4 linked regions of the Ovis aries genome follow. The protein of the gene in region 1 purifies or fractionates together with the protein of each later gene. This does not show direct contact. Links are inferred from orthologs where the notes say so. Each region holds a gene or a part of one and is shown in the gene's direction. Other genes may lie near its edges.

Region 1 (7,503 bases):
CGTGCTGCTTCTGTTTTTTCTCCAGAGAAGAAGACCCACAAGAAGAAAGCCCCCACGTCCCCCCCACAACTGTTAGTCCAGGATGCGGAGACCACGGGCCGGCAGATACAGGACCGCCTGGCCCAGCTCCTGTCGGAGGAGGTGGAGCCGTCCAGCACGCCGCCACTCCCCACCAGCAGGATTCTAGAGGAAGAGCTGGCCAGGGGCAGCCGGGTCCTGCGACCCCCCAGGGGGGCACAGAACCTGCTGTGGGAGGCCAGTGCCCTCACCGGGGCTAGGGCCCTGGAGTCCTTCTACACGGCCAGCCTGGTGCCTCCTCTGGTGCCCCAATGGCCTGCCAAGGTGTGCTCCCTTCCGGTGGGGCAGGTGGGCTCAAGGGGAGAGGGTGGCGGCTCCAGCTGCGGCACCAAATGCAGAGGGGAGGAAGCCGGGTGCCATGGTGTGGACTCTAGTGTGTTGTCTTTGCAACAACCAGATGGTTCGCACAGTAGGAACAGGGAGGCCCACAGGTTTCTAAGCGTTAAGATTCTGGAGAGTTCAGAATGCAGGGTCCCAGGTCCTGCCCCGGACTGGTATAATCTGCCTGTGATGGGACCCAGGAACAAGACAGGCCTGTGTACAGGAATTGGCACTCACCTGCTTGAAGCAATTTAGATGCCACTAGGAGGGCGGGGGCGCTGCCAAGACAGAGGTGCCTACTGACGGGTAACAGGGACAAGCTTCCCAAGTGGCTCTGGCTGGGGCTCGCTTCCCAGGGACTCTCAAGGTGGTGGTGGCTGTGGAGGCCACATGCTCACTCTGGTTCACCTACTTCTTTCAGGGTCTCACACAGGAGCCCATGCGGCTGCCACAGCCACCCAAGCTGCCAGAACTGAGTGTGGGAGCACCCGCTTCTGCCCCTGGCACCCACCCCGTGAGCCACAGCCTCCGGAGCCCAGCACCCTCCGCCAGCCAGAGGGAGCGCCAAGCCCTGCAGGATCTGCTGGAGCTGGCGGGAGAGGGGTTGCCTGCCAGCCCATGCAGCAGGGACCTGGCCAGCTCAGGGGGGGCTGCAGGTGAGACCCCGACCCTCAGGGCCTCCCCTCCCCGGTACCAGGGCCGCGATGGCCACTTGGGTCCACAGTCCCAGTTCACCCTGTCTGACGGGAGGAGGTGGTCTCTCTGGGTGCTTTCCTGTCTCCTCAAAGGTGAATGTGACTCAGGCGAGTCCGTCAGTTTTCCTTCAGCTTTGACTGAGGACAAAGCCTTCTGCCAGAGCGAGTGGTCGTGAGGGTTGATTTCGGCTTTCTCTCCAGAGTACAACTCTGTTGGGCAGGGGTGGCGGTGCAGGTGGCCTCTGGACAGTTCGCCTTCCATGACGACATCCTCGGGTCGGCCAGGTGATGCTCTTTCCCAGGTGGTTGATGATTTTAACCTGCAAATCCTTTTAGGGATGGACTTGTCGCTCGGTGGCCTTCCACTGACTGGGTTTGTCCTGCCAGCCAAGGAGAAGTACCCGGAGGAGGGCGGCCAGGCTTCGGTGAGCACGTCTGGTCCTGCTCGCGGCTCCGTGGTCGTGGCTGCAATGCTTGTTGTATGTTCAGTGCGGCTGGCTCACAGCCAGCCTCCAGGCCCCTGCAGAGTCCACGGGCACCCCTTGACGGCCTCTGAGCTGAGCCAGGTTCTGTCCCTTCCGTTGTTGAACCCCAGGGGCACCTCAGTAGGCTCCCAGGGCCAGGCCCAGGGAGCACCCTTGCTCTGTGAGGGTGCTTCATCCAGCCAACGGGACTGACCAACTAACTCGTGAGAATCCTGGAGGCCTCCAGCTAACAGTTCGTGTTCTGTACTGGTGACTTTCTGGGTTAGAAACTGGTTTTTCCTTAGAGAAGGTGTCATCCCGTGAGCACATTGGTATCAGCCGAGCGCTTGTCACCAAGTTCTCCCTGGGGATGTGGCACCTGTCAGAGAAGGGACATGGACTCCTAGCCAGCCCCACAACTGCTTGGGCTCAGGTCCCACCTGTCACATCCGGCTGGGCTGATGGCTTCCTCACGGAGACCTAGCAGCTGCTGACCCTGCCACCGCGTCCTGGCGAGGCTGTCACCCACGCCTCTCCACGCGCCGGGCCTCCGTCTTCACGGGCCAGGCCTCCTGTCTAGGCCAGGGAATTGGGTGTGACAGAGAACTTGAAAAAGGACTGGGTCTTGCTGTTCCCTGTCTCTGAGGGCCTGAAGGTAACCTCAGGGTGGAGCCCGACATTGGACCTGGTGAGGCAGGAGGCCCTCACTGGCTGCCTCCTCCCCTTGAGTTGGGCACCTGCATGGTTCGGGGGCCCACAGGTGGGAGTGGCCGCTCTCCCCCTCTCGTTGCAGCTCGCCCTTGGTCTGCTGGTGGCCGACTTCAGTGCCATGGTCAACAACCCTCACCTGAGTGACGTCCAGTTTCAGACAGACAGTGGGGAGGTGCTCTATGCCCACAAGTTTGTGCTCTATGCCCGATGCCCACTTCTCATGCAGCATGTGAGTGCGTGGCCAGGCGGCCTATTCCCCCTTTGCTCTTGTCCCTCCTCCCTCCCCTCCCACTCACCCCTCCTCCCCCTCACCCTCCCCTCTGTGCCCAGCCTCTCCCTCTCTTCCTGCCCCTTTCCTCCCCACACCCCCACTCTCCGCCCACTGCCCCTGACCTGTTCTTCCCCTGATGCCATAAAGGTTGTACTTCCCTGGAGAAGACAGGTTTGAGGTCAAGAAGTGCTATGAGGAGATGAGCTCAGGGCTGGGAAACATCAGATTTCTTGTTCCGTTGAATAAAAATCCTGTTTTCCCTAGAACTGTTTCCTTTTCCTCTATTTACATATCAGTAAAGTCTTATGGAGAAGGAAATGGCAACCCACTCCAGTGTTCTTGCCTGGAGAATCCCAGGGATGGGGGAGCCTGGTGGGCTGCCGTCTGTGGGGTCACACAGAGTCGGACACAACTGAAGTGACTTAGCAGTAGCAAAGTCTTATAATCACCTTCTGTTTTTTTCTGCCATGCTGTGTGGCTTGAAGAATCTTAAATTCCCCAACCAGGGATTGAACCCTCACCCTTGGCAGTGAGAGTGTGAAGTCCCTAACTGACCTCATTAAGGCTGAGCTGCTATGACATTTCTGTGTTGTCATATCTTGACTTGAACGTGTCATGGACTTGAACGTGGCATCACAAGAATCCCGGAAACTGCTGTCAGTCTCGTCAGAAAGTTCTAGTGCCTTTGATAGGCTTGTCAACAGAGGACTGACTGGCTCCTTAAGCCTCTATCGCTGACTTGACTTTGGAAACAGACAGGTTTTGTGCCCTAACCTGAAGAATTCCTGGTCAGCTAAATGGAGCGACTCTGGCTAATGCCCGTCCTAGGACGAGATCCAAGGCACCAGAACCTCCTGAGTCCTGTTTTGCCCCAGGTCACGGCTGTCCCGTCAGTAACTCTTCCATGTGCATCTGTCCCTCAGGTAAACAGTGAAGCCTTCCTGGCCGAAGAGGATGGTGACTTGAGGCGCCAGCGCGTGCTGCTGCGTGACGTCAGCACCGAGGCCGCCCAGGCATTCCTGCATTACCTCTATGCTGCCGACACCATCCTGACTCCCCAGCTGGCCCCTGACCTGCGCTCTCTGGCCCAGAGGTCCGGGCTGTTCTTTCCACTTACTTCTCGGTTTTTGACAGTAACCGACAGGGATTATCTGGTTGATGGCCCATGAGAGGTCAGGGCTGAGTCCTTCCTGTACCTTTTAATCCCAAGTTTATGGCCAGTGGTGACCTTGAACAGGGTGTACTGACCAAGATTCTGGCCACAGGGAATGCTTGGAGGGGAGCCCAGTGGCTTTCACTCGCTGGGAGTGACGAAGGGGTGGTCTCAGGCCCCAGCCCCAGCAACACCACCCCTCGGCAGTTCCGCCACCAGAGCTGCCCAATGGCCGCCCCTCCAAGTCTGAGAAGGTGGACGTCGGCAGGATGCTTGCTCTGACGCCCCTGACGCTGCAGCTGCCTGGTCTCTCCACCCCTGTGTCCTGCTCCCACCTCTGGGGTGGAACCTGGGGAGGGGCGGGCTTGGCCTCCGGGGTCTCCAAGGTGCCGATGAGATGGCAGAGCTCCAGGCAGGCCGGCGCACGTGTCCGGGCTGACCCAAACCGGCCTGGGCGACCCCGTGTGTGTCAGTCCCGGTGCTTTGGGTCCGGTCACAGAACCACCCAGCCCCGCGCTCCCACCTCAGCTCACGCTCAGGCTGCACAGTGAGGCTAGTGGACCCTCCCCAGACGCTGTTTCTAGAGCTGAGTGGCCTGGGGCATTGCTGGGCGTGGACATGGGCACTGTCTCTGCAGGGGATTGGGGAAGGGCCAGGGAGTCACGGCTGTGGGGACTCCTGCCCCGAGCCTCCCGAGCCAGGGCGCTGCCTCTGCGCAGGGGGTGGTGACACGTGACTTTCCTCTTGCAGGTTTGGGGTGAGTGAGCTTGTTTACCTGTGCGAACAAGTGCCCTTTGTGATGGATGCAGAAGGTGGACAGGCAAAGGAGCAGGAAGACGACGCTGACGGCAGAGTGGAGACTTTCCGAGAGCTCCTGCACCTTGTGTGGCTGGGTGAGGAGGAGGGAGCAGAGGCCCTGCTGAAGCCGGAGGGCCGCGAAGAAGACAGAGAAAAGGTCAACGAGGAGGAGATGGAAGAAATTTATGAATTCGCAGCTACTCAGCGAAAGCTGCTCCAGGGGGAGAAAGCTCCAGAGCCAGAGGAAGAAGCTGACCTGCTCGGGGAGGATGGTCCAGTTTCGGGGGAAATCCTCACAAGTGAACAGGATAAAGAACAGCCAGAAAATGCAGAGCAGGTGGAATCATCCGGGCAAGGAAGAGATGAGACCCCAGCCAAATGGGGAAACACGAGACAGTCCACACTCCTGCCCCCCAGCGACCAGGCTTTGAACGGGGCAGAGAGAGCAGAGGCCCCAGAGGGAGCACTGGCTCCTCCCTGCTCCTCCAGCCCCGCCCAGGGCCAGCCAGAGAGGCAGGAAAGCGCCCCTCTGTGCTCAGCTGATGATGATAACGTTCAACAGCCTTTTTCATCACCTCAAGCTGGATACTCTGAACTCTCCCGGGTGACGAGCGATTGGGAAGAAGGAAACAGGACCATCCAAGAAAGGGAGGTAGAGGGGTTCCATCCCCCTGCACACCAGCAGGCACCCCCCTCACGCTCATGCTTCCCACCGCAGCCCCATCAAGGCCAGAGTCCTCGCCAGCCACGTCCTCACACTCGTTGCCCCAATGACCTGTCCCCACCAATACTCCAGTTGCAGGCCACAGCTTCCAGCATGGCCTCCCAGAACTTATCACTGAAGCCAAAGAAAGCCAGGCGCCTTCCCTCGTCACGTGAGGATCCAGGCCAGAAAGACAAGGAGTGTAGTTCCGCACTGGGATGCAGAGGTAAAGGGGTCCTGATCTTCCCAGAAAAATCTCCACCCATGGATCTAACCCGGTCAGGACCTGGCCGCCGGAGCTCCAGGCCTGAGACCTCTCCCCGCAGCATGAACAGAGAAGACGAGGTGATCCTGTTACTGGATTCAGATGAAGAGCTGGAGCTGGAGCAAACCAAAGCAAAGTCATTTCTGAACAGTCCCTTAGAAGACAAGAAAGTTCTGGAAGTCAGCGCCAAGTCCTCTGAACTGTTTTCCATCATTGACCTTGACGCGGAGCAGGAGCCTCCCCAAAGCCCACCAGGAAGCCAGGCCCTGCTGCCGCAGGAGGTGGAGGGGCGGCTAGGGGCCAGCACCGACGACAGCACCACGGACACCTCGTGGCTCGTGCCCGCTACCCCGCTGGCCGGCGGGAGCTGCGACTGTTCCTCGCAGACCCAGATCACAGGCCTCGGGGCCAGGCCGCCAGCAGACCCGCTGGCTCTGCCCAAGCCCAGGGCCCTGTTAGAGAACAGGGACGAACCCGAAGCCACGAGTAAGTTTTCGGTCATCATACCCCAGATGTCGTCCCCACACCTGGGACCCGCCCCTCCTGGAGGCTCTGACGGGAGAAGGCAGGCCTGCAGCAGCCCATCCAGCCCCCGCCGCAGACTCCTCCCACGTGCTTCTCCTCTGGCTCCCCGGCCCATCTTAGGAGGCCTCGCCGACCTCCCCAGGCAGCTCCCGAAGTGCCTGCCTCCTGTGCGGAGCCCGGCGGCTCAGGCTCCCGTGAGTGAAGTGGTGGAGGTGGAGGACAGTGAGGACGAGCAGGAGGCAGCCTCCCAACAGGCAAGCAGCAGCCCCCTGCTGGACGGTGACCCCCCGCTTCCAGCCGAGGACTGGTGCTGGCACATGGAGCCCCTCTCACCGATCCCCATTGATCACCTGAACCTCGAGCGGACAGGGCCCTTGAGCACCAGCAGCCCCAGCAACAGGGCAGAGGGTGCCCCAGACAGCAGAGACTGCCACTCCCCGGCACTGCTGGGCACCACCCCAATCCGAGGGAGCTACACTGGCCGGAGGAAGTCTCAAGAGAAGTCCTCTGGGGCTGGCTCCCCTGGGAGCCACCAGCAGAGCTTTCTGAACTCAGCTCTGTGGGATGACTGGAACGAAGAAGATCAGAGGTCCTCAGAGGCAGCTCCTCTGCCCCAGACGCCGCGCACAGATGGAGCCCAGAGGTCATACAAGTTACAGACGCCAGGTGAGTAGTGGGAGGGTGTTTGTCTCTGTTTCATGCTGAGGGGCATGAAGTCATAATGACAGCGAGGGGCGGCCAGCCCTCCCCTTGCCTGCCTGACCTTCTCCACGGTTAGGGAGGAAAGGCCTGCGGTCAAACATACACTTCTTAAGCTAGTAAGTACGGGGGCGTCCTAAAGCTGCCTGGATTCTGCACTCACCTGGGCACCTATTGAGGACCCCTGTCTGCGGCCCCGCTCCAGAATACCTCACCAGCACTTCAGGGAGACTGTGATGAGCCTCTCAGGTTCATCTTAAGAGCAGACACGTGTGGCTCCTCAAATAGTCAAACAATTGCCATTATCACCAGGTCATTGCACTCCAGCATTCAAAGACTTGAGATCGGGACTCAAACACATCCTGCACACTCATGTTCACAGCAGCACTATTCACAACAGCCAAAAAGTAGGATCAACGCAAATGTCCATCAGCTGATAAGTGAATAAAGGGGGTCCATCCCGACAGTAGAGTCTTCTCAGCCATACAAAGCTCTGACACAGGCTACAACATGGACGAACCTTCAAAACATGGTGCTCGGGGAGAGAAGCCAGACTCAAAAGGCCACGCCGTATGATTCCACTTGTGAGCTGTCCCGATGGACAGGTCCACAGAGAGCGAAAGTAGATGAGTGATCGCCAGGGGCGGTGGGGGCGGAGAACAGGGACAGACCGGCATGGAGCTTCCTCTGGGGAGTGAGATGTTTTACAACAAGAAAGAGGTGGGGGCTGCACAATGCTGTGAATGGTCTGAGTGCTACCGAATGGTTCACGTGAAAAGTTACGTGACCGTCATCTCAAAAGAAAACCAGGCCAGGTTCC
Region 2 (8,017 bases), on another chromosome or scaffold:
TGCGGGCGCAGCTCTGCTCAGGTTTCCTTCCCCCGTCTTCTCCCAGCGCCCTCTCCAGTCCCTCGGCCGCTCCATTGGCACAGGGAAGGTCCAGGCCACGCCGACCCCGGGCTGGGACTCCCGCAAAGGGTCCTGTGCTCCTCCCTCCGACCCCCGTGAAGGCGTAGTTCCACCAGGGTCTGCGGTGGCCGGACGCCTCCCAGGACCATGCCTGCACCCCTCGAGCGCGCCCACCCAGATTCTCGGAGCCACCCTGTGGCACGGCAGTCACGCCCGGCCTGGCACAGCGGCGCACGAAGGGGCAACGGCACCCCCAGGCCGACGCCCCCACCCCGAGCGTGGTCCCTACCCCGCGGCCCAAGCCTGCTAGGCTGGCACCGCAATCCCTGCTCTATGGGCATCGGGTCTCCCAATCCCCTAGCCCCCAACCATGTCTCCTGCGGGTTCCACCCGGAGCTTGCCCGCGCCCTTTCAGGGCGCAGGATCCGAGATGGGAAAACACTCCACATCCCGCCCAGCAGTAGGCGAGGCCAGACAATAGTCTGTGCTCAGACCCGCTGCCCCAGGACACCGGAGGCCCGGGTGCCTACCAGAGATGGTGCTGGCCATGGTGCTGGCGGCGGCGGGGTTGCGGGAGGCGGGAGAGGCGCGGGCGGCGGCTGGAGCTGCAGTCGGCGAATGCTGCAGTGTCGGGGAGGGGAGGGAGCTAGGGAGGGCGGGAGGCGGGAGCGCAGGGGAGAGGGAGGGAGAGAGAAAGAGAAAGAGAGAGGGAGAGAGAGAGAGAGAGAAAGCGCCTGGCTGTGGCTTGGGCTGCAGCCGTTGGAGGGAGGGGGTGAGGGGAGCGGACAATGGGAGGGGCTGAGATCTGCCTGGGATGCAGAGCCCTGCGCTGCAGCCAGAGGCCCATCCTCCCACCGCTCACTGTTAGGACCCGCTGCCCCAACTTGGCTTTGTACACTCTCAGGGGGCTGGTGGAGACAGCACCCAATTTCCCAGGGGCTGTGCAGGAGCAGGGGGCAGGCCTCAACGTCAGGGTGGGGTTGCAGAGCTTCTCTGAGGCCAGTGAAGGCTGGGAGGTGCCTTTTTTGTGCCCAGGCTTGTGCTGAAGGAAAGCAAATCATAGATGGTGCAGGTGGGGGCTGGTCTGGAAGGCCTCCAGGGGCCTCCCAGCGGATGAGCAACTCGAGGCAGAGAGGAGGGTAAATCAGTGTGCAAAGGCCTAGAACAAAGCTTTGGAGGAAGACAGAGACAGGATCCAATCCCCGCTCTGACATCTACTTGCTGTGTGATTGAGGGCAAGTTTCTGACCTCTCTGGGCCTCCATTTCTCAGGTGTGAGATGAGATAATGGTGTTAATCCCCAGTGGTGTAGGAGAAGTGTGCACACTTGGTGAGTGTCCTGCCTGCTTCCTCCCTAGACTCAGAGTTCTGATTGATACCCTCAAAGGGAGGGCCTTTCCCAGAGTAAGCATCACCTCTTTGGGGATGGGAAATCAGGCAGATGGAGTGATGTTCCCATTTTAGGGACAGAGCCACTAGGCCAAGAGAAGGGCTGACTCCACAAGAAACGGAGTTCTGGAGCCAGAATTAGAACTCTGGGGAAACCTGGAACATGCAGAGATGAGGAGAGCCAAGAACCTTAATGTGCACACTCAATGAGCATAATGGGTCCACACTGGGGCTGGTCTACCATGGGAGTCCCACAAAGCCTACCAGAGCAGACACTCAGTGCAAGTGCAAGTTCACTGACTTGATTGAGATCTCTGTGCCGGCCTTCTGGGGCTTGCTATGTGGCCTCCATGTCCCTTTCTGCTCATCTCTCAGGGTATAGGACCACAGCACTTACATGTTATAATTTTAGGAGGCTTGGGCAGGAGGTCCTGATGCACAATGTGTGACCAGGGTCCTCAGCTCTAGTTCTGGCCCAGGGTTTGCTGAATCTCTGGGTCCTGGGCTTCCCTTCCTTGGACTTCTGTGGGAGAAAATGCCACTACTCTCAGAGTGTGGGGTGTGGAGGGTAAGGGTAGGACTCCCGGCTCTCAGACTTGCTGCTATCTTTTCACCTGGTGGCTTAGACAGTAAAGAATCTGCCAGCAATGCAGGAGACCTGGGTTTGATTCCTGAGTTGGGAAGATCTCCTGGAGAAGGGAATGGCTACCCACTCCAGTATTCTAGCCTGGACAGAGGAACCTGGCAGGCTACAGTCCATGGGGTCACAAAGAGTTGGACAAGACTGGGCGACTAACACTTTCACTTTGGGAAATCTACTAACCGCTGCCAACAGTGTGCTTCTTTTCCTCACCTGTAAGGAGTGGGTCATAGATGCACTTATCTCAGGGATGGTTTGCTGGATGGACAAACATGTTAATGCCTGCATAGATGGCACTGCAAAGTGTGCCAGGTAAACATCCAGCAAGTGTGTGCCAACACATCTTCTCCAAACTTCTCCTCTTCTCCAAACTCCCTGCTGAGATAGACACTCTGCCATTCCCTTACTGGAACAGGTGGGCATGGGTGGATACCAGCGTGTGCCAAGGGCTTCCCAAGCATGACTTCAGACCAAGAGCCTAAACACATACGTGGCATTAACGTGCTACCAGCAGGAATACCTCTGGACATTAATCGGCCCACGGGACCCTCTAAAATCAGCCTGGCCAGAGGACTGCGGCTGCCACCGCACCGTCAGTTTCTTCCTGGCGCTTTCTGGGGCATACTGGGGTCACCTAGACAAACATTTCTAACCACGGAGACCCCTGAAACTTCCTTGTTGACTGCCAGCTGGTGCTGGGAGCTGGGGATTCAGAGGGCCTGCCCTGACTAGTTGGAGACATTGACCGAAAAAGCGGCTGGACCCAGAGGACAGTAAGCAGAGGAACAGATGAGGCTCTCAGGAGCCAAGTCACGGGCAAGGGGCAGCCATTTGCGAAATCTGAGAGTGATCAGCTCAGTCAAGTCTTTAAAAGACCTCTGGGCGTTTCAAGAAAAGGTGGAAACCACAGGAAACCTGTCAGAACGTTTGTACAGTTGTCTGGGCAGTTGTCTGAGAGGACTTGGTCCAGGCCAGGCGGGAAGTGGAACGGAGGCCCGGGTGGGGATGACTTTGAGGAGGGAGCCGGTCGGGATCCTAGGTTCGTGCCCCTGGGGGAGAAGGGGCGGGCCCTGGGCTCAGGGTCAACGGAAGGGGCTGGTGGGACCTGGACCGCAGCGCGCGACTAGCGCGCGCACCCTCAGGGGAGCAGTTTCCGGCCGGAGCATTGAGCAAGGGACTGGGAATGGCGGCGGAAGTGCAGAGAGTTCCGGAAAGACGGCGCGCCTAAGCCCTCATACTCAGACTGGCTGCCGGCTGCGGACACGATGGTGATGTGTGGGCCGGACTGAGGTGAAGTCCTGGGGACCCCGCTCGTGTACGGCTCCCCTCAGAGACCCGGGCACTGGAACCTGTACTCCAGCAGCGCCTTCCGTCACTGCAACTCCCGGCAGGCCCCGCGCCACCCTCAGGTCGCACGCTGGCGATTCTGCCGCGCTGCATTGTGGGGCGCGTAGTGCCCAGCTCTCCGCTCGCGGAGTGGGCCGGGCCAGCGGGAAGGGCGGACGGGCGGGGTTTTGGAGCGCGGGCAGTTAGTTCCAGTGTCTAGGCGAAACCAGGCCTCGGGAGGCGGGTTGGTTTGCGGGGCGCCGCACGGATTCGCATCCCAGGTCAGAGCAGCACACGTGTTCTTTCGCTGCCCGCCTGGGAGGGATGGAGATGGCCCAGAGAACCGAGGGTGGGAGCCTCAGGGGTGGGAGGTTCCGAGCCGCCCAGGCTGGGGGTGGAGGGGGGGGTGGGTTGGTGCGGAGGTGGCGCTGCTGGGAACTGGCTCCTCTGCTGTGGCGGAGGTCAGTGCAGTGTTGTTGCGGTTGGAGCACGTGGAACTGCACCTCCGTCTCTTCTGTTGCCTCTCCAGGAGCTCGGTGGAGCTGTGTGGGGCGGGAGAACAGGGCAGGGAGGACACCTCTGTGAGCCCCTTGTGATGGGATGTCACAGGCTCACCTTCGGACCTGTCCGCGGGAGGCACTGCCTGCGGGAACTGATGAAGTGGCCTGGCACTCGGGAAAAGCTCACTAGACACAGGCTTGTCATTTCCGTCTCTGCTGTAGGATCTCGCGTGGAGAGAGGCTCCATGTCCCCGCAGTGCAGGCTGGCATCACTTGCCTGAAGCCGCTGAGACTCTGAGATGTTCAGAGGAGGTTTTGTCTCGCAGACTCACACAGCCTGCACTTCAGCCAACCTCTGTGTGACCCCAAGAGTAGACCAGTATGCCCAAGATAACCCTGAAAGGTGTGACAGTGGACTTCCCTTTCCAGCCGTACAAATGCCAAGAGGAGTACATGAGCAAAGTTTTGGAGTGTCTGCAGAAGGTGAGGCTGCAGACTGAGGGGCTTGTACCTGGGGATGGGTCAGCGTTGGTAGAGCCTCTGCAAAGACCTAAGGTATCAGTACATACACCTTCCTGTTAACTCCGGCCAGGTCCTACTGGTAATGCTGCCCTTATGGATGTGGGCCTTAGCCATAAATAGGGCTCATGTTTTAGGTGGGGTCGGAGAGATGCTGAACAAATAAATCAAAAAAAGGTAATTCTAGATGGTGATGAGTGCTATAAAGAAAGGCATAAGGTGGTAGGCTTAAGAGCACCTGGGGGAACCTCACTGAGAAGGTGGTGTGTGAGCTGAGGCCCAGCGATGAGAAGCAGCCAGCCATCTGAGGATCTGGAGGACGTATTTCCACACAGAGGGGCAGCTGGTACCCAGCCCTCATCTGGGGAGATCATGAAACCTCATGGGGTGCAGCTAGTGTCTTGCTGGGTTTCTGGGCATGCCCTCTTGTCTCTGCCCAAGCCCCCAGCACCCAAGGGCTGCATCTGCAGCTGGGCACGTTGTGTATGCCCAGGCTCCCCACTCAGGCTCCCAGCTGAGAGCTATGTAGGCCATCAGATCTCATCAAGATTGTGTAAATGCTTGGATCCAGAATTGTAGAATGGAACTCCTATTTTGAGGCTTGATACCTAATTAGTCATCTTCCTATTTATAGCATGTTAGAAGATACTGTGGTGTTTTGGGTAATGCTCTGCAAATTGTTTGCTAACGTGTACTGACCTAACCTCCAGCTTTTGGTTTGGGAGTGGAAAGGTCCTGTGGAATTTTATGCCCTCTGCTGGCTGCTGGGCTAGTCTCAGGTGGGCTGTGTGGCCTGCGGTGCCTGCCTCCTGCTCCTCCCTGACCCTTGTTCCACCCCATTCAGAAAGTGAACGGCATTCTGGAGAGCCCCACAGGCACAGGGAAGACACTGTGCCTTCTCTGCAGCACACTGGCCTGGCGAGAGCACCTCCGAGACGCGGTCTCTGCCCGCAGGATCGCTGAGAGGGCGTCAGGGGAGCTCTTCCCCGACCGCACCTTGGCGTCCTGGGGGAATGCCATCCCGGAAGGAGATGTCCCAGGTGATGCTCCCTCTGCCCCACTCCTGGCCTCCTGGGGGGTTGTGTAGCTGCCACGCCATTTCTCATTGTCCTAGCTGTAAACCTAGGGTCATAGCCTTACAAACAAATGAGGACTCTGCAGAGACCCACTGCTCTGCTTCTTGGTCACGGGTTCAGGCACCTGATGCTTAGCTGTCTGTGGGTGGACTTAGCTGAGTGCCTGTAGCCGTGACTTGTCCTTCCTTGTGCTGGGCAGCCTGCTACACGGACATCCCGAAGATCATCTATGCTTCCAGAACTCACTCACAGCTCACGCAGGTCATCAGCGAGCTCCGAAACACTTCCTACCGGTGGGTCGGGGGGGTGGTCTGCCAGGACTCCACCCTGGGACACCCTTACTGGGCTAGAACCCTGAGCTCCTTGTGGATGAGATGTCAGCTGTAGGTGTGGGTGGGGCAGCAGAGGTGGGGCTCTGCCCTATGTCGGAGCTCCCAGTGCTTCTGCAAGAGGGCTGTGTCCCCTTTTTCCAGTCTCCCATGAGAGGAGCGTGGAGGTGGAGGGGCCTTCCAGAGGCCTGCCGTCATTTCTCAGCCTTGCCTCCTCACTCGCCCTGGACCCTGACTCAGGCTGGGCTAAGCTGCAGGGAAAGCCCCTCTCAGTCCCGGGCCAGATTTCCGCCCTGCCTGCCCTCTCTGGTTGTCTGGGTGGGTGAGCCAAGCTTCCCAGTATAACTCATGGCTCTTGTCGCTGGATGGCACTGGGGCCCCCGCTCTGTCTTCTGCCAGGCCCCGCGTGTGTGTGCTGGGCTCCCGGGAGCAGCTGTGTATCCACCCTGAGGTGAAGAAGCAGGAGAGTAACCACATGCAGGTGCGTTCCCGTCCCTGCCTGTCTGCTGGGGTTCTGTTGCTGCTGCTTTGTGAGAGCTGCCCAGGCTTTAGGGCCTCAGCTGTGCCCCTGGGAGATGGGGTAGGGGAGCAGGGTGAAGAACTGGTGGGGTGCCTGACTGGTGGCAAGGGGAGGGCAGGGTGCAGTTGTCACACTAGCCCAGGCCTCGTGTCCCCCCAGGTCCACTTGTGCCGCAGGAAGGTAGCAGGTCGTTCTTGTCACTTCTACAACAACGTGGAAGGTGAGGGGGCTCATGGCGGCCCCTCCGCCCCTCAGTGAGCATGCTGCAGGGCGTGGACTGTGGGTGCCTCCGAGGGTCGGGCTTGGCGGCCTTCTATACGTGGGGGCGCCTGGGCTCTGTTTCATGACATTGGCGAAGGCGCTCACACGGGCTGAGGGACTGGGGTTTTCGGGAGGGTCCCTGCCATGCCCAGTAGGGGAGGTCCCCTGGGCCTAAACTGTCCCTTCTAGGAGTCTGGAATTGAGGTGCCTGTCAGGTAGGCATGCCAGTGTGGGCAGCCCCCAGGACAGTTTAGGTACTGGGTCTCGAGAGCATTTCTCTTGGGGTCTCAGCCACCTTCCACAGCAGCTTGTGGGTCAGCTTGCTCCCTCTGCTGGACCAGCCCTCACCTGCAGCGTCCCTCACCTGCAGCTTCCCTCACCTGCAGCGTCCCTCACCTCACCTGGAGGGACCTTGAGGAGGGAGGGGCCAGGAGGCCAGGGTGGGGTGGGGAGCTGGGGGGAGCTTTTGGCCTACAGAGGAGGTACCTTCGGAGCTGGTGCCTGCTGGTCCCTGGGCTGCAGAACCCCCACTGCCCTCAGCCTCCTCCCCTGGGTCTCCCATTGGTGCTCAGCCTCGGCCTGTGGCTGCCTTCTGAAGCACAGAGCAGGGCTCCCTCAGGACTTGCTTGAAGCTTGGTGCCCTCCCCAGGGGCTGCCTGGAGTCATTCCATCTCGGGTGACCCCTGTGGTCCAGGGGGACTCAGTGGACCTGAGAGCCTGTGTTCACTCCCACCGTGTCCCCAGAGAAGAGCCTGGAGCAGGAGCTGGCCACTCCCATCCTGGACATCGAGGACTTGGTTAGGAGCGGGACCAAGCACAAGTAAGCTCCCCTCTCGGCTGCCGCAGGCTGGGCTCCCTCCACGTGCGGAGGCACACCCATTTCTTTCCTTTTGAAATCATGAAACTAACGTTGTTCGGTATGAAAGTACATGGCAGTTGTGAGAACTGTGAAGTAAGAAGTGAGATCCTTCTTCCTGGCCCCCAGCCCCCCTCTACTCCCCAGGCATTGAGCTTATCTTCCACTTGGTGTGCCCCCACCCCCGACATCTGCTGCAACTTCATGGATTCAGGGCTCTGGTTGTGGGGGCAGAGGCCTGGCTATCCCCTTTCCTCCCACCTCATCCACCTGCCCAGGAGTGGGCCTGGGGCTTTTGTAGATTTTACACAAGTGAGTGGTCCACTCACACGGTTGAGGACGGATGTATGAGGGGTGGCAAGCCTCGCTGCCCGTTCAGTGCCCCAGCACCTCCTCCCCTCCAGGCTGTGCCCCTACTACCTGTCTCGGAACCTGAAGCAGCAGGCAGACATAATCTTCATGCCCTACAACTACCTGTTGGATGCCAAGGTGAGGCCTCAGCCTGTGCAGCTGACAGTGCCTGATGGCAAGAAGGTCCCAGG
Region 3 (7,503 bases), on another chromosome or scaffold:
ACTTCTTCCAGCCTTGGGGAATTTACATCATTCCTAATAGGAAAAGGCTTTCTGGTTCCCACAGAGTTGTTCAAAGCCTGACTCATGCTCCTTATGTTAATTGTGCAGCTCTGAAACTACAGCACTTTACAGGGTGTGGTTGTAAGGGGGAAATCTACTGTACTTACAAGGCATGTTTAGAAGCGTTTCACACATAAATCTCAATCTCTCTCTCTCCCTCTCTTCCTCTCTTTCTCTGTCATTTAACTTTTAAACTAACACTTTTGGGTCAACAAACCTAGACAGTATATTAAAAAGCAAAGACATTACTCTGCCCATAAATGTCTGTATAGTCAAAGCTATGATTTTTTTGATATTCTTGTATGGATGTGAGGGTTGGACCATAAAGAAGGCTGAGTGCCAAAGAACTGATGCCTTTGAATTGTGCTGGAGAAGACTCTTGAGAGTCCCTTGGACAGCAAGGAGATCAAACCAGTCAGTCCTAAAGGAAATCAATCCTGAATATTCACTGGAAGGATTGATGCTGAAGCTGAAGCTCCAATACTGTGGTCACCTGATACAAAGAACTGACTCCTTGAGAAGATCCTGATGCTGGGAAAGATTGAAGGCAGGAGGAGAAGGGGATGACAGAGGATGAGAAGGTTGGATGGCATCACTGACTCAATGGACATGAGTTTGAGCAAACTTCAGGAGATAGTGAAGGACAAGGAAGCCTGGCATACTGCAGTCCTTGGGGTTTGCAAAGAATGGAACACGACTTAGCGACTGAACAACAGGAAGTCTTAAGGGAAAGAAAAGGGACTAGCATTAAAATGCAGTGAAAGTGAAAGTCTCTCAGTTGTAAGTCTGACTCTTTGCGACCCCATGGACTATACAGTCTGTGGAATTCTCCAGGCCAGAATACTGGAGTGGGTAGCCTTTCCCTTCTCCGAGGGATCTTTCCAACCCAGGGATCGAACCTAGGTGTCCCACATTGCAGTTGGATTCTTTACCAGCTGAGCCATACGGGAAGCCCCAAAATGCAGTATAATCCAATAAAACCAATTGTATTCTGTTTACTAACTCTTAAAACTGACTTGGGTTATAACTAGACCCTGAGTGACATTGGTCCAGGTCTAAAACGCCGGTGAGTTCATGAGAGCAAAAGGTTGGTGCTCAGTGGTGCAGGGCAGTGATTGGACGAAGCTCATGGCATCACTCTGTGGGACATGCAGATATGATTCCAGTGGCTGCAGCCTACCAGGCTCTCTGGGGTGTCAATCTTACTTCCAGTGTAGGTCTGCTGGTACCTTACCAATACCACTCCTTGTGGCAGCAACATTTTACTATAAAATTTGATGGAGAAGGGTACTGAGAAATGTACTAGCAATTGATAGAATTTAACACCTTGTCTGAATTATCTATGTGCTAACCAAAAGGAAACAACTTTCCAAAAGAAAGAAATTGGTCAATATTGATGAGGGTTGGGAGATTTTAACTTTTTATAGCTACTTCTTTATGAAGCTTCCATGTGTATGGATAGATAGATAACCTCAGAACTATCTAAAACCATGTTAGTGCTGTTATTTTAAGGGGAAAAAAACTCGGGAGTGTTTTAGTAACCAGGAATCTCAAAATCTGGTTTTCAAAATACCAGTATTGGTAGGCTGAACTCTTGACATTTTTTGCAAAGGCCATACTCTGTTTTTATAGATAGAGAAGATGTGAGAATTCTAAAGTTCATCGGAGTACAGACCCCTGTGGCCCCAGGTCTCTCTGGAAGGCCAGTCCCACGGCCACATGGTCGCCTGACTGGGGCATCCTCACATCCCAGGCCTCAGAGCTCTCGGTTCTGGCCGAGAGTTCCCGGATGGCTTGGAGTCACCATCTTGCCTGTTTGTGGCACACATTCACGAATGAAACGTGTACTTGGAATCCAAGTGAAGTGGTGGTGTTCAGTTGACAATTTGGGTCCGCCTCTGTGACCCCATGCACTGCAGCATGACAGGTGTCCCTGTCCTTCACCATCTCTCGAAGCTTGCTGAAACTCACACCCACTGCGTCGGTGATGCCATCCAAACACCTCATCCTCTGCCATTCCCTTCTCCTTCTGCCTTCCATCTTTCCCAGCATCAGGGTCTTTTCTAATGAGTTGGCTCTTCACATCAGGTGGCCAAAGCATTGGAGCTTCAGCTTCAGAATCCATCCTTCTATTGAATATTCAGTATTGATTTCCTTTCAGACTAGCTGGTTTGATCTCCTTATAGTCCAAGAGACTCATAAGAGCCTTCTCCAGCACCACAGTTTGAAAGCATCACTTCTTCAGTGCTAAGCCTTCTTTATAATCCAACTCTCAGATCCGTACATGACTGCTGGAATAACCATAGCTTTGACTATATGGACCTTTTTCGGCAAAGTGATGTCGTTTTTAATACACTGTCTAGGTTTGCCATAGAACATTCTAGACTGAAAAAAATTAAAATAACCTAACACTATGTAGTTTCATCCTGTCCTCACCAAACTAAATCCGTTCACTGGGGTATTTGGAGTGGAAATGTTTTCCACCTGTGCAGTTAACAGATTACTGGTTGACTTTGTTGTCTTTTGCAGCAGCCGGGACGAGCTCTCCACGGAGCAACAGGGGATCGTACTGGGTGTGTGGAACAACTACTTCCTCCCGGGGCAGAGCCCAAGAGAAATGTTCTGCAAGAAATGTAGGTCCCGTGGGTTTCCTCTTCTTCTCTCCAAACTGTCTATATAGATGGGGACACAACATGAGGGCTAGAATTCAGCAAGAGTGCCTAGACCCTAATCACAGAAGCCCTCAGACACTGATCCTGTCCAAAGTCACAGAGTTGGGACTTTTTCTACTTTCCAGACTTTTTCTCTTGCTTTCTGGACAGGGGGAAACAAGGCCTGGCTTCACAGGTATGTTGCAAGGAGTAATTAGTGGCAAGCACTTTGAAGATGAAAAGCACCTGTTGATGGTGTTTCGTGCACCTTTCCAAGCAGCCCCGGACAGATTGGGAACCATGCGCTGCCTTCCTCAGGGGCCTCTTCTGACCCTCGTGTCATTATAATAATCTTTGAGAGAACGATAGCTGTAGTAAGAATATGAATACATGTATTGGTTTCCAGATGAAAGCTGAACCTAAAGAAATATTTCATTCTCAATATTTTGAGTTCAGTGGTTCAAGAAACTTCTTTCCATTCACAAGTCTACAAATATATGCCAAAATCTCTGGTCTGTACAATCTCCCTGGCCAGCTTCTATCCTGCACCTCCAAGTGAATGTCACACAGTACAATCTGCTTTATCTGTTGTATGTGTGTTATAGAAAAGGGAACGTTTAAAAAGTTTCTGTGTGTTATAGAAGAGTTTGTATGTGCGTAAAAGAACATGCTTGTATGTACACAAACACACACAGAGGCTTTGCTTTGTGTATTTGCTTCTGGGGAAAAAATCAATATATCAAATATAGGTAATATTGATATTTAACATCTGAAATGAATGCCTCTCTGCCTTAGTTAAAATATGAACTCCATTAAAATGCCATTGTTAACCAATGATCAATAAGTAAAGTGTGTCCCAGTGTGTAGGAAACTGTGACAGCTCTTGGTTGATCCAGTCTGCATATCAACAGACACTTGGGATTTTTTGTGAGATTGGCCAGTGGGGTGAGGAGAAGGGAGGTTAACACATGCCTCCTGCTTCAAGTGTAAGAAATATGACATGGGGACTCCGAGGGAAACCTGGCCATCACAGGTTTACAAATCAAAAAATTCTTTCTTTGTTTTAGTGTGAACAGAACTGAGACAAAAAGCAGCGCCGTGAGCGGATCTCGGAGCAACGGGCCCAGTGTGGGAGCATCCAGTGACTCCGTGGCTGCAGAGGGAGCGTGGAGGAGGGGGGGCCGGCCAGCCTCATCCAGCCCCCCGGCCGTGGGACAGGCAGAGGATGACAGGAAGGCGTCTGAGACCCACCAGGGGCTTCCTGCTCTGAAGCTGGAGAAAGGTCATCAGGCCTGGCCAGGAGCAGCAGAAACCTCATCCCAGGGTGCGGTTGCAGACCGGGCTTCTAAGCAGGAGCCTTGTCTGTGGCTGTGAGTCAGCATTCCCCAGTCCAAAGCAGAGTCCACGAGGGGCCGGAGCACCGCAGAAACTCAGGAAGCGCAGCCCTGCGGGAGACGCCGACCACCACAAGAGAGTTTCTCTTGGAAGTGATCGATTAGCCCCGAGGGAAATAATAGTGGGAAAAGGAAAGCTGCCAGGGTCCTGCCAACTGGAGAGCTGTCAGATCCGGGGTTGCTTTTGAAACAAGATTTGGCAGAAACTGCATCTAATGAAGAGTTGCATGTTTTGGAAAACTCTCTCCTCCAGACATCTTACGAAAAATAAGCCAGGGCAGGCACAACTCAGCCACAAACACTGAAAGCTTAGCTCTGACTCAGGGCAGCCCAACCAAGAAAAGAAAAGGGTGGAAGCAGCTACTTGCTCACAGAAGAGGATTGCAACCTCATCGTGGAGGATGTCGTGACCAGACCTGGGACAAATGAGCAGTGTGCCTAGAAGCCATGACTTACAGGAATTCAAATGATCATTTTCAGTAGAAGTTACGTACCTGTGTTGGACTTAACTTTCAAACCAGCAGCCTCCAGGAGCTTGTTCTGACAGCACTGTTCCTTTCTGGTTCACACTTTAACTTCAGAAACTTACTTTGGTGATAAAGAACCATTGGCTTTGTTGGCAGCGACAGCATCCATAAAGGAAGCGCAGGAAGAAACCAGTGGTGTGCCTCGCTGCATCCCTGGATGAAGCCCACAGTGACCGTGGTGCTCTCTTTGCCGGCCAATCCTCCTGCCCTGCAGCCTGAGTCAGGCAGCAGTGGAGCAGCAGGCTTGCGGGTCACCCCATCTGCTTGCGGGTCACCCCACTGCTTGCGGCCCCAGCGTCATATCTGAAAGTGTGTGAGAAAGGCAGAGCCTGGGCCCCACCCAGACCTACAGAATGAGAAACTGGGTGATTCTGAAACATGCTCAAGTTTGGCAACCCCCGGGCTAATTGCAGACCCCCTTGGATTGATTCCTGCGGCCTGACTGTCCTGGCCCCTCGCACATCAGCAGGGCCCACATGTGGACATGCAGCCGTCATGCCCCCTCGGACTTATGAAGCACCTGGCTCAGGGTGTGAAGCACTGGTCCCATTTAAGCATGGTGGCCACAGCGCCCTGGGAGCTGTGACTGCACTAAGAGTTGCAGGATATTTACATATAGTTTGGCCTGACATTAGGGGGAGACATCAGAGAGGCTTGTTCTTTCTTGTAGTTCAGGCATGTCCCTACCCCTTGCCCCTGCCCCCACCTTCAAGACTCTGGTGAAGTTCAGAACAGATCCAAGCCCGAGGGGAATTCAGTGGGCAGAATTTGCAGTTCCCCACTTGGAAGGCAGCACGGGCAGCTTAGATTTCAAACCAGGAGCCTTCCATTTGCAGGATCACCCACTGTTGTCTCCAGTGGGCTTGCTGAAATGTCATGTAGTGAATCATAGCAATGACTTATTTTGGATGGACAACTACAGTAGGTTTTCTTAACCAAGTTTTATTCTGAAATAATGAAGGAAACTATATTCAAAGGCCACCCATCAAATGTGTCTTTTTTTCCTGCTCAACATTGGGTGGTCCTTTGAAGTAATACCTCCTCCCTAGTAACACGGAAAATCAAGATATTCCCCAAAGTGTAGGAGTTAGAAAAAAAAAAAAAGACCAACAAAATAAAAGAATATGGAAATGGATACAGTGTAAGTTCATGCTTAAGATTAATTAGTGGTTTCTTTCTCCCAGCTCATTCTGTCCGTCCCCAACTCTCCTTTCCTTAGATTGTAGGGCAGGACTCCTGAAGAGGCAGCCGAATATCATGGCACCATTTTGAGTCATGAAGCTAAGTCTTCCTTGCCATGCCTGGCTGCGGATGCAGGCCCCTTTCTTTGATGCTCCAGACTCTTCTGGAGACTTCTTCCCTTCCTGGGACCCCAGCCTCAACATCCCCACCAGGAAGGCGGCCCTGCCTACTGACGTCTCTTCCTCTTCCCTCCTAGCTATTAATCCTGCCCCAGGTGACTCCGTTCACTGGGCTCCACAGTAGAAGAGGTAGCCCAGCAGAATACCAACCACAGTGCAGCTGAGTCCACTCCTCCAGGAAGTGCAGACTGCACAGGGCAGAACCCTCCTGCGGAGGTGATAGAACATGGTCCGTCCTGAGCCCCGTCTCAGAGTCACCCATTTCCTGGGTGCTTGTCACTGAAGATGGGCTCACAGTGTGTCGTTGAGTCTTAAACAGAAACAGTTGTTGCAGTAGTTTAGGCAGAGAGGGCACAAAATAACAACCCAGGCAATAGGCCAAGAAACTGAGCTCCCTGGAAGAGTCTAGAATCAGGAAGAGCCATCCCAATACCTGCTGCCTGCCCCAGAACTAGGGGAAGCTGTTTGAACTGGAGGCACCAGAGAAAGTTTTTATCAGGTTTTTTATTTCATTAGTTAACCTGGGCCTGGTGGTTAAAGCCAGTACTTGTATGTTTAATGATTATCGTTCAAGAAAATTCTTGGCTTTAGAGTTTGGTGTATTTGTGGATACGATGATGACTGAGTTTGGGACTTCCCATCTCCCAGTGCAGGGCACACGGGTTCAGTCCCTGGTCGGGGAACTGAGATCCCACATGCCGAGGGGCAGCTAGAGAAGGCCGTGTGCCGCAGCTAGAGAAAAGCCAGTGCAATGCAGTGAAAAGCCAGTGCGGCTGAAATTTAAAAACAGAAAAGTTGTTTAAAGGCTGTGTCATTGCACTTTTGGCTGTAGATCAGTAGGGTCTTTCTCACAGCCTTCATGTCCATGGGTTTTAACAGTATTAGCAAAAGGACCAACTTTCCGCTTCTGCACAGGGGCATGTGCTTGAGGAATTTCGCCTTTAAGCATTTTCCTTCCACATGTCTGAAACACCCCTGGTTCTCTTGTTTCTTGAGTGGTTGTTTGATTCTTTGGATATTTGGAAGTTCAGAGGGGAAAATGGCTGCCAGGTTTTTTTGTTGCTTATTAGGTGGGAAATGAAGACTTGGTTCCCTACTGCTGGAAGTGGGTGTGTTTTGATATTCTTGATAATCTTAGTAATTCATCTTCAAATCTGAGACTCTGTCAGTATTCTTGGTTAAAAAGAATAAGTTCTTCAGCCACTCACTAAATAACCCAAATTAAATGTATATTCAAGTTCCTGTAACTCTGATGCTTGGAAGAAATATGGACCCTATTGATTAATGTTGTAACTTTGAACTCCCTAACTTTCTCAACGTCATGGCTTCTAATTCATCTCCATGTGCTTCCAAATGACTTTCTAATAGATTGGGTTTTTTTTTTTTTTAAATATTCATAAATGTCTGAGAACAGTCAGTGTGACTTTTCTTCCACATTTTTCTTTTCTTTGCTTCTGGAGGTTACGTGTCATCCAGCCATGCATGTAAATTGTGAAATGCAAAGGAGCAA
Region 4 (7,992 bases), on another chromosome or scaffold:
TGCTTCTGTTAGGTCCAGACTATTTCTGTCCTTTATCGAGCCCATCCTTGCATGAAATGTTCCCTTGGTATCTCTAATTTTCTTGAAGAGATCTTTAGTCTTTCCCATTCTGTTGTTTTCCTCTATTTCTTTGCATTGATCGCTGAAGAAAGCTTTCTTATCTCTTCTTGCTATTCTTTGGAACTCTGCATTTAGATGCTTATATCTTTCCTTTTCTCCTTTGCTTTTAGCCTCTCTTCGTTTCACAGCTATTTGTAAAGCCTCCCCAGACAGCCATTTTGCTTTTTTGCATTTCTTTTCCATGGGGATGGTCTTGATCCCTGTCTCCTGTACAATGTCACGAACCTCATTCCATAGTTCATCAGGCACTCTATCTATCAGATCTAGGCCCTTAAATCTATTTCTCACTTCCACTGTATAATCATAAGGGATTTGATTTAGGACATACCTGAATGGTCTAGCGGTTTTCCTACTTTCTTCAATTTAAGTCTGAATTTGGCAATAAGGAGTTCATGTTCTGAGCCACAGTCAGCTCCTGGTCTTATTTTTGTTGACTGTATAGAGCTTCTCCATCTTTGGCTGCAAAGAAAGATAATCAATCTGATTTCGGTGTTGACCATCTGGTGATGTCCATGTGTAGAGTCTTCTCTTGTGTTGTTGGAAGAGGGTGTTTGCTATGACCAGTGCATTTTCTTGGCAAAACTCTATTAGTCTTTGCCCTGCTTCATTCCACATTCCAAGGCCAAATTTGCCTGTTACTCCAGGTGTTTCTTGACTTCCTACTTTTGCATTCCAGTCCCCTATAATGAAAAGGATATCTTTTTTGGATGTTAGTTCTAAAAGATCTTGTAGGTGTTCATAAAACCGTTCAACTTCAGCTTCTTCAGCATTACTGGTTGGGCATAGACTTGGATTACTGTGATATTGAATGGTTTGCCTTGAAGACCAATAGAGATCATTCTGTCGTTTTTGAGATTGCATCCAAGTACTGCATTTGGACTCTTTTGTTGACCATGATGGCTATTCCATTTCTTCTGAGTGATTCCTGCCCACAGTAGTTGAAGGTCAGGAATGGCGGTGGTAAGGAGATACCCCTCCTCCAAGGTAAGGAGCAGCGGCTGTGCTTTGCTGGAGCAGCCATGAAGAGATTACCCACACCCAAGGTAAGAGAAACCCAAGTAAGATGGTAGGTGTGGCAAGAGGGCATCAGAGGGCAGACACACTGAAACCATACTCGCAGAAAACTAGTCAATCTAATCACACTAGGACCACAGCCTTGTCTAAGTCAATGAAACCAAGCCATGCCTACGGGGCAACTCAAGACGGGCGGGTCACGGTGGAGAGGTCTGACAGAGAGTGGTCCACTGGAGAAGGGAATGGCAAGACACTTCAGTATTCTTGCCTTGAGAACCCCATGAACAGTATGAAAAGGCAAAATGATAGGATACTGAAAGAGGAACTCCCCAGGTCATTAGGTGCCCAATATGCTACTGGAAATCAGTGGAGAAATAACTTGAGAAAGAATGAAGGGATGGAGCCAAAGCAAAAACAATACCCAGCTGTGGATGTGACTGGTGATAGAAGCAAGATCTGATGCTGTAAAGAGCAATATTGCATAGGAACCTGGAATGTCAGGTCCATGAATCAAGGCAAATTGGAAGTGGTCAAACAAGAGATGGCAAGGGTGAACATCGACATTTTAGGAATCAGTGAACTAAAATGGACTGGAATGGGTGAATTTAACTCAGATGACCATCATATCTTCCATCTTTAGACATTTTAAAAAACCAAGGTACAGATCATTAAACTCTCAGGTTACTCAAATCATGATTTTCTCACTCCCAACAGTCAAGAATAAAATGAGGAGAAACGCTGACCAAGCAGTTTTTCATTGGCCATCAACAAGCCAGAGGTCCTACAATCCTATTTCACCTCCTCTCCCCACACCTTTGCCATTTGAACATTAGGTTCCATCCCACAATCTGCCCAACACTTGGGAAGCTACAGAGAAAAAAATGAGATGCTCACGGGTTGGGGGTAGCGAGGTGGGAGTAGCGAGGTGGGAGAATAGGGTGTTAGTCCTGGAGGGCACTACTGAAGTTGGCAAAGACCTCCTACGCACCAGGCATGTCATTCACGTCATCCTGACGTCTTTCTTTTCTTTAGACCCTTGGCTGTTGTAGCTGGTGAGCACATTTGGGCTATACTGGAGGAAAATAATCCAGTCCACCAGTCCATGGAGTCAAAAAGACTTGGGTGCAGTCTTAAACTTCTACCACTTACTGTGACCTCGAACACTTCATTTAATTTTCCTAAGCCTGTTTTTACATTTGTAAATACAAATCAGTATTCGCCTCCCAGAGTTGTTTTAGGTAACATATGGTGTCTCAGCATAAACTATTAAAGAAACCCTCTTTTACCTGTCTTTATTTTTTGATATGTTAGGGTCTGCTCTGAGGCATCAGTCCCCAACATTTTTTGTCACTAGGGACCGGTTTAGTAAAAGACAATTTTTCCCAGGGCAAGGGGAGCTCGGCCGTTCAGAAGGCAACGCGAGAAATGGGGAGCGGCTCTGCTTCCACCACTAACCTTCCCTGGCCCTGGAGTTGCGAACTCCTGCTCTAAAATACCTCCGACCCGCCGCCCCAAAGCCCTAGCCCTCAGCGCTTCGCCAATTCCCAGCAAAGGTAAGACCCGCCCTTCCAGCTCCTGAGCCGAAGCTTCTGCCACAGCCTTCCGGGAACACCTAAGCCTCCGGGTGGGAACCAACCAGCACCGCCGCTTTCTTTTGTCTCCGCCCTCCCCCGCTGCAGTTGTCGTAGCGTCACTTCCGCCGGAAGGGACGGGCAAGACCGCGCGGTTGGCGCGAAAGTCGGTTCGCGGTTCGGCAACTTCCGGGTCTGCGTTTGCTTTGGTTGGGGGCGCCGCTGGGTGCGGCGGGTGTGCGCCGGGCTGGCGCCCGACCCCAGCCGCAGTCCCGCGTGCCGCGCGGCCCCCTACTCGCGGCCCGGAGATCCCCTGCCTCCACCGAGGTGAGTGAAGCTCAGAGTGAGCACCCCGCTCCCTCCCCACCTCGCAAGGGGGAGGGGTCCTCGACGCCGCCTCTGGCCTTAGGGGCCCTGGATTCCGGACCTTGTAACCGGTCCCCGGACCGGTGGATGGGACAGCGGAGAGCACGTGACTGGGGCAGGACCGATAATCGGACTTTCCCCTGGCAGCTGCGAAGCGAGAGCATCTAGCCTTTTAGGGCCCTAACTTTAATGGCTGGCTTTCATGTTTATATGTAAAGTTCGTTTACTGAGGGCTTAACCTATCTTGAGGGCCGCAGATGACCTCAGGGACCTAATCGTTCTGAGCATTCTCAAGCTAAATGAAATTGAATGACCATCGACTTAGGAGACTTAGAGCTCCAGAGCAAAAGTCCTCGATGAATTCAGTTTAGCAACATTAATTTCGTATTTTGATTTACGAAGACTGGTTGTTGTCATCTTTTCCCTTGATTTTGTCCACATTCCACTGTTTCTTACAAACCATAATGGACGAATTCATGGGCAAGACCAGAATGTTTGTCCTTCGACATTCTTATTTGCACAGAAAAGTAGGTGCTTTAAACATTTAACTTTGTACGTAATGTGTTTTTACTCTTGTTAATGGTTCCTTTATTTTGACAGTTCAGAAATGTCCAAAAATGACAAAGAACCGTTTTTTGTGAAGTTTTTAAAGTCTTCAGACAATTCTGAATGTTTTTTTAAAGCTCTTGAGGTAAGACTACTTGACAATGTCTTGCTGTGAATTCATTTTCTTGTTTCTAGTGTTTTTGACTTAGGCCTTTTATGTCTTAGTCATGGTTATTTTATTTTCATAATAGTTTTACTCTAGTCTACATTCATAGATACCTCATTATTAACACACTCTTGAATTGATATTAGTATATCATGTATTTTGGGGGGATTGAAATCTTTACTGACATTTATATTGAAAGTGATGGGCCTGGTAGTCTTAGAAATTAAGTAGTTTTCTTTTGTCTACTAACCATAGACCTTTGTGTGTTGAAAAAACTTGAGGCAGTCCTATATTGGTTACACTTCATTTTTTGTTTTTGTTGTTGTTAATTGTTAAAAGTATGTTTCATTATATAGTTTCATGTGGGAGGATGTAGGGGTAGTGTCTCCCCCAGTAGCATCACCGTGGCCTGAGAAATTGGACCCCAGCTCAGACTCACTGATTGGAATCTACTTTTTAACAAGATCTTATGTATGTTTAAGAAACACTTGTAAAAAAAAAAAGAAAAGAAAGAAACACTTGTAGCAGGTTTTTCTTTTAAGTTCATTCAGCAAATAATTGTGTTCATCATCTGATAAGCACTGTTCAAATACGTGGGATACATTTAGATAATGAGAGCAGGCAAAGATCCATACTTTCTCAGAGTTTACATTCTATTATAGCTATAGGAAATAAACTAGTCAGATATATCAGTGTGTAATATATAGTATGTTAAAGCTGCAAAGTGCTGTGGGAGGAGAAATGCAAAACAAGTTAAAACATTCCAGAAGATGTTTGTTAAGGAAGAAGGGAAGTTTACAATTTATTTTAAATATAGTGTGATATTCTCTGTGGAGAAGTTGATATTTGTAAATACTTGAAGGAGGTGAGATAATGAGCCATGTTAATATGTGGGGAAGGTTTCAGTTTCAGGCAGAGGAAATAATCATACACAGGCCCTGGGAAGGTGCTTGCAGTGTCTGTCCTGCTTTATTGTGGCTGTAGTGTAGTGTGAACAGGAGATGTGGGATGAATGCTAAGGTTTGGTTCAGAGAATAAGAATAAAGAGGTCATGAGGGCCTTGTGGTCTCTTTTAAGGACTTTGGCTTTTTCTTACGGTGAGATGGAGAGCCACTGGGGGAGTTTAATCAGAAGAGTATATGATCTGACTTAATCGTTTTAAAAGGATCACCCTAAGTATTTAATGAAAGGACTTCAGAATTTGTTAAGAAAATATTTGAGTGCTTATTGGGAGCCAGGATATGTTGCCAAACAAGATAGATCACAAAACATTCTTCTTACAAGGGAGAGAGACAAAAACTGTGTATATATGTATATATAATATTATGTATGCTATATATGCTAGTATACATAATACTATATCTATGTTGTTTTCTTCATAAAATAGGGAAAGAATATTTTAGAAAAGTGTGATCAGGAAAAGCATCTCTGAGGAAGTGACATGTGAGCAGATGTGGTTGAAGTGAAACAAGTCAGGTGAAGTCCTGGGGGAAGAGTGTTCCAGGTAGCAGTGGGGGGGGGGGGGGGTGCAAAACCTCTAAATGAGGTCATACTTAGCTTGTTCCAGGTCTGGAAAGAAAGCAGGAGTGGCTAGAGAAGAGTGAGCAAAAGGGATTAGAGGAAGAAGTAAGCATGGGGAGACAGAGACAGGCAATGGCCAGACTCTGTGGTCTTATAGGTGATTGTAAGAAATGAAGATTTTATTTTGAGTGTGGTGGGAAGCTGCTGGAGGTTTTCAGCAGAGTGATATGACCTGATTTGTATTGTTGAAAAGATTAGTAGCTGCTGTGTGGAGAATAGATTTAGGGCAAAGGATGAGAAGGAACCCCTTTGGAGACTCCTGCTCAGGCCACGTGAGAGATGATGGTTCCTTTTGATGGGAAGAAGGCTGGATTTGAGATGGATTTTGAAGATACAGTTCATAGGACATAAATACAGGTGAATAATTTCATATGCATTCTTATTTTTTCTTTCAGTCAATAAAAGAATTCCAATCAGAAGAATATCTTCAGATTATTACAGAAGAAGAGGCATTGAAAATAAAGGAAAATGATAGATCACTGTATATCTGTGACCCCTTTAGTGGTGATGCCTTTGATCATCTCCAAAAGGTTTGCTAACTTTTAGTGTGTTCTTTCAGGTAGTGTTTTTGGTTTGTTTTTGCGGCAGTGCAGTGGACATAAGTTCTTTACTGGTCATGATGTATTTTGTAAATTATGAATTGAGAGGAATCTTTTGGTTTTGAAAGACCAGAATAGTAATTTTAAAGTGTAGTTATATTCCCGTAGGCTTTAATTGGGCTTCCCTGTGGCTCAGACAGTAAAGAATCCACATGCAGTGCAGGAAATCTGGGTTTGATCCCTGGGTTGGGAAGATCCCCTGGAGGAGGTCATGGCAACCCACTCCAGTATTCTTGCCTGGAGAATCCCCATGGACAGAGGAGCCTGGCGGGCTACAGTCCATGGGGTCACAAAGAGTCAGACGCAACTAAATGACTAAGTGCAGCACAGAACAGACTTTGCTTGATATGTGAGTTTTGTATTTTAGGGAATTTAACCTCACTTAGTATAATTTAACCCTATAGTAATGAAGTATTTTATTGATGAAGTTCTAATGTACTTAAACTCAGTTTGATTTTAGAGTAAGAAAAGATTTGTTTACTTACTGTCTTTACTGTGTGTTCTTGAATTTTAGTACCTGTGCTTTGTATAGGGTTTGAAAAATTATATGCTAAAAGGAAGCATTTTGGGGATGAGCATTGCTAATATATCATTGAGCCATCTTATTTCTTTTTGTTGATTCTAGAGTCTACTGACTCATTACTTTTTTGGTGTCTGGACAAGAGAGAAGCATTGAAATAAAAGTAAACTGGCTATAATTTCATCCAAATTACAAAGAAGTGACTCTTGTTTGAAGGAGAAGAAAACATAGAAGAGTAGCTAGATGCAGTACTATACAGATAATGGAAGGTCTGTGCCCATGTTTTCCAAAAGCATTATTGGTCTTACCCTCCTTTTGGAAATAACACTGCTTGTCAGATAGAATCAATAGCATTGAATACTCAGTTTTCTTATGACTGACCAAAAAGATAGAAATAAACATTTACCCTGGAGACATTTACATCAGTTATGCTTTGGTAACTTTGGTAACTGTAGGCTTTAGTCTGGCCTGGATGTGCTGATGTTGAGCAAAATTGTTCAGTTATCAATGAAAGTGATAACCTTAGGAGAAGTTTTTGTGGGCCTTTCCTGGAAAAACATTGAGTTGTGAACAGTGTTTAAAAATGAATGTAGAAACTACCTAGGATTATGCTTTTTTGTAGCATAATAGGTATTTTAGAGGGAAAGTATTTGGGTTCTTACACTTAACTGCCTCATTGGCTGGGTGCTTCATTTGAAAAGTAATTATTATGGCATAAGGCTATTACTCATATCCCCTATTGCTAAGATTGTATTTGTTTCAGAGATTAAAATTTTAATGGCAATTTTGAGTGAGTATAACTTTTGGAGCTTATTTCTTTTGATAGCCTGCATTGTTTGATTTGCTTGTGTGTTAATGTGTGGTATGTCTGAGAAATCATATAATGTGTGTTTGCTTTCTAACAATTTGGTGGGTTTTCTGCAGTGATCAACTTCTCTAAAGAATTGGTAAATGCAGTGTTAAACAAAATATAATTTTCTAAAACTGTAAGTCTTTTCCTACTTAATAAACTTTCCTTGTTTTTGTAGCTTGGTTGCAGAATTGTTGGTCCTCAAGTAGTCATATTTTGTATGCACCACCAGCGATGTGTCCCAAGAGCTGAACATCCAGTTTATAACATGGTTATGTCTGATGTAACCGTGTCTTGTACAAGCCTGGAAAAAGACAGAAGGGTAGGTGTTGCTGTGTTAAGTGGAATATTGTGGTCAATATATATTTGCACACAATTTTTCACTGTAGGGGATGTTTTGAAAGACCTTGCATTTGGTGTTTATGACATCTAACAGAGTCTAGATGATATTCTATATCTTTTTAAAGTTTATTTATTTTAATTAGAGGCTCATTACTTTACAATATTATAGTGGTTTTTGCCATACATTGACATGAATCAGTCATGGGTGTACATGTGTTTCCCATCCTGAACCCCGCTCCCACCTCCCTCCCCATCCCATCCCTCAGGGTCATCCCAGTGCTCTCGCCTTGAGCACCCTGTCTCATGCGTCAAAGCTG

What was found.
Region 2: the proteins of SLX4 (region 1) and RTEL1 purify together in Homo sapiens (affinity purification with mass spectrometry; 3 studies listed by BioGRID, with this or other methods). This does not show direct contact. The link is inferred for Ovis aries from reciprocal best matches to the Homo sapiens genes SLX4 and RTEL1.
Region 3: the proteins of SLX4 (region 1) and SLX4IP purify together in Homo sapiens (affinity purification with mass spectrometry; 6 studies listed by BioGRID and IntAct, with this or other methods). This does not show direct contact. The link is inferred for Ovis aries from reciprocal best matches to the Homo sapiens genes SLX4 and SLX4IP.
Region 4: the proteins of SLX4 (region 1) and TOPBP1 purify together in Homo sapiens (affinity purification with mass spectrometry; 3 studies listed by BioGRID, with this or other methods). This does not show direct contact. The link is inferred for Ovis aries from reciprocal best matches to the Homo sapiens genes SLX4 and TOPBP1.

What each region holds. Positions count from the first base shown.
Region 1 is NC_056077.1:3,513,775-3,521,277, reverse strand, and holds part of SLX4 (structure-specific endonuclease subunit SLX4), read left to right. Parts: intron 1-25; coding exon 26-342; intron 343-820; coding exon 821-1,055; intron 1,056-1,430; coding exon 1,431-1,519; intron 1,520-2,351; coding exon 2,352-2,498; intron 2,499-3,463; coding exon 3,464-3,633; intron 3,634-4,443; coding exon 4,444-6,650; intron 6,651-7,034; exon of another isoform or gene 7,035-7,503. UniProt on the Homo sapiens protein: Regulatory subunit that interacts with and increases the activity of different structure-specific endonucleases.
Region 2 is NC_056066.1:53,773,392-53,781,408, reverse strand, and holds the start of RTEL1 (regulator of telomere elongation helicase 1), read left to right. Parts: upstream 1-3,249; 5' UTR 3,250-3,378; intron 3,379-3,615; exon of another isoform or gene 3,616-3,695; intron 3,696-4,136; 5' UTR 4,137-4,295; coding exon 4,296-4,397; intron 4,398-5,277; coding exon 5,278-5,473; intron 5,474-5,708; coding exon 5,709-5,802; intron 5,803-6,237; coding exon 6,238-6,319; intron 6,320-6,517; coding exon 6,518-6,578; intron 6,579-7,363; coding exon 7,364-7,439; intron 7,440-7,879; coding exon 7,880-7,964; intron 7,965-8,017. Other genes in the region: STMN3 (stathmin-3), read right to left, coding at 591-609. UniProt on the Homo sapiens protein: A probable ATP-dependent DNA helicase implicated in telomere-length regulation, DNA repair and the maintenance of genomic stability. Acts as an anti-recombinase to counteract toxic recombination and limit crossover during meiosis.
Region 3 is NC_056066.1:3,746,041-3,753,543, forward strand, and holds part of SLX4IP (protein SLX4IP), read left to right. Parts: intron 1-2,589; coding exon 2,590-2,693; intron 2,694-3,778; coding exon 3,779-4,085; 3' UTR 4,086-7,503.
Region 4 is NC_056054.1:256,376,795-256,384,786, forward strand, and holds the start of TOPBP1 (DNA topoisomerase 2-binding protein 1), read left to right. Parts: upstream 1-2,889; 5' UTR 2,890-3,032; intron 3,033-3,201; exon of another isoform or gene 3,202-3,598; intron 3,599-3,671; exon of another isoform or gene 3,672-3,676; 5' UTR 3,677-3,678; coding exon 3,679-3,762; intron 3,763-5,759; coding exon 5,760-5,894; intron 5,895-6,588; exon of another isoform or gene 6,589-6,752; intron 6,753-7,511; coding exon 7,512-7,655; intron 7,656-7,992. UniProt on the Homo sapiens protein: Scaffold protein that acts as a key protein-protein adapter in DNA replication and DNA repair. Composed of multiple BRCT domains, which specifically recognize and bind phosphorylated proteins, bringing proteins together into functional combinations.